Oryzias latipes: one gene and its partner. The protein of the gene in region 1 purifies or fractionates together with the protein of each later gene. This does not show direct contact. Links are inferred from orthologs where the notes say so. Each region holds a gene or a part of one and is shown in the gene's direction. Other genes may lie near its edges.

Region 1 (3,814 bases):
AGTTATTTATAAAAACAAGCACTGTGCATCAAATATATCTGCTAAATTATGTAAACTCAGCTCATATAGTACAAGTGATTGAACCGACATACAGAGAGACAGCAGCACCGTCTGACTGCATAGGTATTGCGCAATCCAAGGTGAGGCTCAGCGGGCTGGTGCCTCATCACACATCACTTCTTAGTATCTGAACGGCAAATGCGGAAATTCAGCGATTTTGAAAAGAAAAAAACACCCAGAAATGGTAAATTTAAATGGAAAAAGACTGCAAAGCACAAATTACTGATTAAATATAATAATTGAATTTATTTTTTCTCTTTTCTTCCCATAATGACAGGTGAGGCACAGCCTCACCTGCCTCTCCTGACTGCACGTCACTGCTAAAAAACTATCTAGTGTTCAGACACCACGCTCACCACTTTTTTTATTTTTAATGGTGGATATGATGTCATGGATTTCATGAAGTTAAAATCTAATTATTATGAGCGTTTTGCAACGATTATTTACAGTATGACTCCACTGTCTTCTGAAGATAAAAATGTTGATGGTTTATTTAAAAAAAACAAAAAAAAATTGGCAAAAATTCTTCCGCTGCAATGCATTGTGGTCTATATTTGTTGATCTAGTGAGCATCGATACACACTGGTTTTTCGCAGAGACTTCTGGGAAATTTCTAGGGCACTGGATTTTGGAATTGTAGATTCAGACAGTTCTAAATATCGCGTGGGCACTATAGAGGGCAGTATGTAGGGCTTACGGTGGGAATTGGGACACAGCGTCTGTGTTCACCTGAGAACAGCGACTGTTTTTGGATAATAGTGAGGATGGATGACGACATTTGCTCTCTGACTTGAAACCAACTCTTTGTGGTCATTTAATTCCTGTCAGAACAAGCGACATATGAATGATAGCAGGGAGTTCCTTCAACGCAGTGAGATGTGGGGCTGGTTTTCTGTCAGGCACTGTGGTGGACGGCCTTCCCGTCCCAGCAGCTGAAAATTGGGTTACGACAAGCTGCTCTACAGGAGGCTCTGCTGTTTTTGTTGTACTGCAGCAAGAATTCAGTATTTACAAAGTTGTCTTTGGGGAAAACACTGGAGCTTGTACTTTGTTTTCCGTTTGACAATATTAAGAAATCTTGTGTGTCTTCTACAAACTTCATCTCTGCTGCAGGTGGCCAAAGAATTTGGCTTTAATTCCAATGGATTCTCAGTTTATCTGAACCGCAACAAGACCGGAGAGATCCTGTCTCAGAACAAAACCCTCAGCTTACTCAAGATTAAGTAAGTACAAGAAAACTCTTCCTGAATCAACATTACAGCCGTTGTGTTGAGAATGACAGCGTAAAACCCTCTGCACACTTATCGTCGGAAACATTCAAGCTGCATCTTCCAGTGCTAGAAGACGCGGATGTGCCTGATGACTGTCAGATTTCATACTTCTGTTGGTTCTCCAGCTGTTTAGTTCAGACTTTGAGCTTCGTCTGAGCATCATCGGGTCTTTTCTCAGGCCGCTCCTGGTCACGAGAATCAAAGTGGAAACTGTTGATACATTTACATCTCATCTCCTTTGACCCTACACATGTTCTGACACTCTCTGTTGAATGGTTCAGAGGTATAGAGAGGAGCTGTTGCTCAATGGTCCAAAGTCAGGTTTGCATTTGGCGGGACGGTGTACCGCTCTTCCTGCTGCTCTCCCTGACTTGCTACCTGCTCACACCGACACAGGAACCTCGAGTTTGTTGAATATTTAGATTTATGGACCGTTGTTTAGAGGAAGATGAGATGCCAGAACCGGCGAACCTGAAGGCAGCTGTCAGCAGAACCAGGGCAGAACGTGACGCTGTCATCCGTGCAACACCAGGTCCAACCGAGAATTCCCATCATAGGAATGAGCGGCTGACAGAACAGAACATCTGTGTGGAGAACATCCTTCCTTTGATCAGCCGGATTTTATTTCTGAGAAGCTACACTTCCTTTATTAAAATGAAGATAAAGTGAAGCTCAAAGTATTTTAATCTTCACACAATGCAAGCTGCATTCATTAAACTGACTGGTACAGCTAGTACATCTTGTTTTAATAATCTAAGTTTTGGGTTGTACCTGTACTTTAGTCGGGTTGTCATCATTTTTTGATCTTTTTACTGTAGGCATGGGGACATGTTGTTTCTGTTCCCGTCTACATCTTCTTCCTCCGGGGAAAAAATGGATACAGCCATCCCGCACTCGTCTTCATCACTACCGTCTCTCTCCTCCTCCTCTTCGTCATCCTCCTTGATCCCTCGGTCCTCCTCGGCCCCCCAGGTCCAGGAGGACGAGATCGATCAGTATCTGGCTAAGCAGGATGGCAAGATCTACCGGAACAGAGATCCACAGCTGTAAGAGTCCAGATGCTGCTGTGTTACGGAATCCGACGCTGGAAGCTTCACCGTTCTGTTTTCTTCCAGGTGTCGCCATGGCGCCCTTGGGAAATGTGTACACTGTGTTCCATTAGAGGTAAATCCCTCCTTTCTCTCTAAAAACCAAACTGCTTTCCTCCCCTAAACATCTGTTCTGCATCTGGATGCAGCCTTTTGATGAAGACTACCTGAACCACCTGGACCCGCCGGTGAAGCACATGTCGTTCCACGCCAACCTCCGGAAGCTGACTGGTGGAGCAGATAAGTAAGTGAGGAGCCGCTCGTCACGGTCGGCTCCGGTCCTCTGGTTTTCCTGTCAAACTCACCGCTGACCGGACTCCCCTCCCCGCAGAGGGAAGTTCGCCGCTCTGGAGAACATCAGCTGTAAGATCAAGTCGGGCTGCGAGGGTCACCCGCCCTGGCCAGACGGGATCTGCACCAAGTGCCAGCCCAGTGCCATAACTCTCAACAGACAGGTGTGTTGTCAGAGCACAGCTCCGTGAGGCTTTCTGCTCTTTTGGAAAAACCAGCACTGGGCTTCTGTGGCTCGCACAAAACAACCACTTTGATAAGTTTGTGTCCGTCTTGCTTTAGAAATACAGACATGTGGACAACATCATGTTTGAAAACCACACCATCGCAGATCGCTTTCTGGACTTTTGGAGGAAAACGGGCAGCCAGAGGGTGGGATACCTGTACGGCAGGTACACGGAGCACAAAGACATCCCTCTGGGTATCAGAGCCGAGGTGGCTGCCATCTACGAGCCCCCACAGGTGGGAGTCCCAGCCGACACGTCCCCCTCCCCTCCAGGATGAAGGGAAACTCTTTCTTTGTGTAACCAAACCTTTGTATGGGTTACAGACTGCCAACCAGAACAGCCTGGAGCTGTTGGAGGACCCGAAAGCTGCAGCTGTGGATGAAATCGCAGCCAAACTGGGTCTCTGCAAGGTGGAGCTGTTTCCTTCTGTGATCCTCAGATTCTCCTGTCTGCTCAACAGTTCAAGGCTTTGACCTTTAACCCTAGTTTCTGAATCGGGTCATTAAATCACACTTGATTTCCCTTTTTCAAAATATGTAGTAAAAATGTTTCTGAGTATAAACGGTTGTCTTGCTGGTTTTTATAGCTTTGCCAGCAGAAACAGTCCTTGTTCTCACCCAAATGACACATGGATTCCCTCTTTCCTGAATTAGGTGGGATGGATTTTCACCGACCTGCTGTCTGAAGATACAAGGATAGGGACGGTCCGTTACCTGAGGAACCAGGTAAATAACCCAGAGGGCCAAAGCTGCGTTCCTCCATCTAACCTGCCGGGATCGAACCAGCGCTGCTTCATTCGTCTCATAGGAAAAGCTTCTTTCAGCCTTTGTGTGCTGCTGTCTTTGAACCTGATGTTGTCTTGTCCTGGTTCTGTTTT
Region 2 (3,814 bases), on another chromosome or scaffold:
ACACAGGACAGAAAATTGAAATCCTCTAGCTTAGTCATGTTTTGTGTCTTCTGCTCATCAACCAAATGTGGAGTCAAGTAAGTTGGTGAACTTCTTATAAAGTGAATTTTGACATTTGCAATTCATAATTCCAACTCTGCTCACTGTTATCTGACAGTTTAATGATCAGAATCTCTCATGAGGATGGTAGGACAGGCACAATTTTGAGGTTTTCTCTGCTTCCCTTCACAAAGTAGGTGGCAAAAAGTAAACTTCAAAGCCCTGTTGGCCCCGCCTACCTCCCATTAACCCCCCCCCCCCCCCCCCCCCCCCCCCCCAAAATGCACAAATTTTAGCTTTAACAAAACATTTCATAGAAATCTTTAAAATCATTTCTGCACTTCATCTCCCACCAAAATGCCCACATATACGGTCTTATGGGGTCAGAACAAAACCTCAGAATGCTGGGAGGGGTCCGGCCTCGAGTCTTCATCATTTTATCCTGTTTTGTCCCTGGATGTGTTCAGGGAGGCCGACCTGTCCGGATCAGGATCCACCCCAGTTTGTGTTTACATGCGGGACGAGGTACGAGGCTCTCCTTCAGCCCAGACTCACCCCCAGAGCCGTTGGGATTACAGCGCAGCTGTTTGTGTGGCAGGTGAGCGGCGAGGAGGCGCTGAAGAAGACCAGCCTGAAATCTCTGGGTCTGACCGGAGGAAGTGCCATCATCAGGTAGGCCCCAAACAAACAACGGGCCAGTTCATTTCTGGACGCTTGGTTGGGGGGGTCACATTAGGTGTGGGAAGAGGAGCGGAGCTCAGGTGAGCGTTCCCACCTGCTGAAAGAGGAAGGCTGCTCTGACTGAAGACAATGTTTTTAAAAAACAGTTTGAACTTCTTCAGAGTTGGTTTGTGGATCTTGTGGTGGTTTTTTTATTCACTTCATTATCAGTTGAAGGCGTTTATGCATTCTGTTCATTTTTTTGTTTTCATTTAAAACCTTTCATTCATTTCATATAAATTGTCTGTATGCTTTGCTGAGTGTAAAAACCTGCAGATCATGAGATGTGAGGCCTCTTCCAGGTTTTTGCTAAGGAAGGATAAAGATGAAGATGCTGCTGTGCCAGTCACACCTGTTGCCATGGTAACCAGGCAGAGCCAACCTTCTCTGTCTGATCCCACTCCGTCATCCGCGGAAGGTTCCACATCTGCCCCGCCTGAAAGCTCCATCCCCGTTGACCCATCAGAACCTCCTGCCACGCTGATGAGCAGCACTTCTGTTCAGCACAGGGACGCTCAGCCCGAACCCCCCCCCACAGAAACTCCCCCACCTGCTCAGGAGGAGGAGGAGCAAGCAGGACCATCGCAGGCGAGCTCTCAGCCCTCCTCTTCTGTAGCTCCCGTGGCTCCCTTTGTTCCTTTTTCTGGGGGGGGTCAGCGCCTTGGGGGTCCAGGTGGGGGGACAGGTTTCCCTGCTGTGGTGGAATCCCCCAAAGCCAAGAAGGCAAAAGGCAGCGACGGTCCAAGCACCAAGGTGAGCCGAACTGTGAGAGGCATCCTGAACCAGGGGGTGGGGGGGGGTCTGGGAAAAAGGGGGGGCAGCAGGAACCGGGACACTGGTTCTGTTGGGTCGGAAATTAAATCCAGTTCTTAAGGTGCGAAAATAAAGTTTTACCATGGAATGAAAACAAATAGTTAGTGACTCATTTTTAGCAAGAGCTTTGTAAACATGTGAACCCTTTACTTGTTTAAGGAAAAAGTGTTTTTCCATTTGAAAGATGTGTTTTCTAAAGGAAGTCTCGTTGAGTTTGTGGACAGATGACAAAGGTTCTAGATCGTTCTGGATGGGATTTTGAGTTTTTATAGTGTGTGTGAAGGTTTGACCAGAACAAAAAGGAGGGTGGGCGGGGCTTGACAGTCATCATTTGGCGCTGCGCACGCAGCGCCAAATGATGACTGTCAAGCCCCGCCCACCCTCCTTTTGCACGGCCTGCTTCAGAGGAAGATGCTTATTAACGGAACCAAACTATCTGCTCTCATAGAAGTTCTGATGTTAAGCTGCCATCCCGCTAAAAACCCGTTCTAGCCTTATGCTCCGAACAAAGTTCATGAAGTTAATTAATTCTGAGTTTTCCAAAGTTTAAAGATCTCTGCACTCAGATGCTTCAGGGTTCTGCTGGCAGAAGCTGCGACTCCTTGGTAGCCTGACTTGTTAAACTTTCGTGTGTTCTTTAGAACCCGATGGGTTTAGGAGATCATGTGTAGGTGAACATGCAGCAGAACATCACATCTGCAGATCCTACTGATAACAGTCATCTCAGAAGATAATTGCAGAGTCACGGGGAGTTTGAAAGATAGTGGAATGGTTGGCTTTGATCTTCTGATGAAGAGTAGCTCTGTCCTCTTCATCAAGATCAGTGAAGATCTCAGACTGATGGAGAAGATGAGCTTTGCAGAAGAGCATAGATCCTCATTTTAGTTTCCCTGCAGCTGATGAAGCTCACTCTTCTTCATCTGTAGTTCTTTGCTGGGATTATATAACTTTTCTCGTCCCTCATTTGAATCTTAAAAGCTCAAACATGAATCTTCTCTGGCAGGGTAAACGCGCTGCTCACCTTAAGGACCAGGAGGAGAATCCGGAGTTTTTGGAGGTCAGTGCCAGCTTTTCACTCATCCTCAGGTTTGGACTCATTCATTTGCAGATCTGCTCGTTTGTCCCCAGTGCGGTGTGAGGTTCCTCAGCTGATAGAAACAAGCATTCTTCAGGTTTCTCTTCTTCTCGTCTGCAGCCGGTGGATAGGGAGCCTCTCATCTACCACCTGGACTCCAGACCCCATCAGGCTCAGGACCTGGGAGATCTGCCTGATGAGTTCTTCGAGGTGACGGTGGACGACGTGCGGAAACGCTTCGCCCAGCTGAAAAGTGAGAGGTGGGTGTGTTGGGTGGGTGGGGTCAAATGAAAGGGTGGAGGTTCTGCTGGAGCCAGAGGAGCTGCTCAGCCATGCGCTCCATCAGGTTTTCTGGAGCTCTGCTTTGGACCAGCTGCGTCTTCTGTGACTGCAGGTCTGCTGGTTGTCAAACGGCACAAACCACAGCCTAACAGGGTCACTGCTTGGTCGTCGTCTTCCATCAGCACAAGAGAGCAAGAGTGAAGACCACCACACACCCCTCAGTCTGCATCAGTGTTCACTTAGCCCCGCCTCTTTGCCACAGGGGCGTTGGGGCACTCACTGGATGAAGTGCGTTAATGTTGGATGGGTTTGTAACAACTTTTGTTTGTATGCATCTCACTCCTGCAGGAAACTGATGGAAGAAGCTCCACTCATGACTAAATCTCTGAGAGAAGCACAGATGAAGGAAAAGATGGAACGATATCCCAAAGTGAGCAAAGTTCTGCCACATCCTGCCATCTAAAGCCTCAACCCTCTTTTAAAACCTCTGCTTCCGCTTCTCCAGGTGGTCCTGAGGGTCCAGTTTCCAGACAGACATGTCCTACAGGGCCTCTTCAGGCCTCTGGAGACAGGTTTGAGTTCTGTCGTACCAGGAATTAGATGCAGCCCTCCGACAACCTGGAGGAAAACCCCTCACATACGTGAATGAACTTTGTTCAAGCATAAACTTTGTTTTTTTTTTGTGTCCTTTGTGCAGTTGGTGCTGTCAGACATTTTGTCAGGACTCACCTGGATGACGCTCAGCTCAGTTTTTACCTGTGTAAGTTTGTCTGAGTATCCACAACATCTGCTTTTCCAAAGAACCGTTTGAGCTTAAACATCTGCTTTTTGGATGGAACCAGGATCTTTTACATTCTTATTGAGTGTAATATTGACTGAACTCAA

What was found.
Region 2: the proteins of nploc4 (region 1) and aspscr1 purify together in Homo sapiens (affinity purification with mass spectrometry; 3 studies listed by BioGRID and IntAct, with this or other methods). This does not show direct contact. The link is inferred for Oryzias latipes from reciprocal best matches to the Homo sapiens genes NPLOC4 and ASPSCR1.

The regions. Positions count from the first base shown.
Region 1 is NC_019877.2:22,101,864-22,105,677, reverse strand, and holds part of nploc4 (nuclear protein localization protein 4 homolog), read left to right. Parts: intron 1-1,173; coding exon 1,174-1,283; intron 1,284-2,149; coding exon 2,150-2,377; intron 2,378-2,446; coding exon 2,447-2,495; intron 2,496-2,568; coding exon 2,569-2,663; intron 2,664-2,750; coding exon 2,751-2,874; intron 2,875-2,992; coding exon 2,993-3,172; intron 3,173-3,260; coding exon 3,261-3,347; intron 3,348-3,590; coding exon 3,591-3,662; intron 3,663-3,814. UniProt on the Homo sapiens protein: The ternary complex containing UFD1, VCP and NPLOC4 binds ubiquitinated proteins and is necessary for the export of misfolded proteins from the ER to the cytoplasm, where they are degraded by the proteasome.
Region 2 is NC_019859.2:28,955,874-28,959,687, reverse strand, and holds part of aspscr1 (tether containing UBX domain for GLUT4), read left to right. Parts: intron 1-506; coding exon 507-564; intron 565-637; coding exon 638-711; intron 712-1,061; coding exon 1,062-1,512; intron 1,513-2,575; coding exon 2,576-2,629; intron 2,630-2,767; coding exon 2,768-2,907; intron 2,908-3,277; coding exon 3,278-3,359; intron 3,360-3,434; coding exon 3,435-3,501; intron 3,502-3,626; coding exon 3,627-3,689; intron 3,690-3,814. UniProt on the Homo sapiens protein: Tethering protein that sequesters GLUT4-containing vesicles in the cytoplasm in the absence of insulin. Modulates the amount of GLUT4 that is available at the cell surface. Enhances VCP methylation catalyzed by VCPKMT.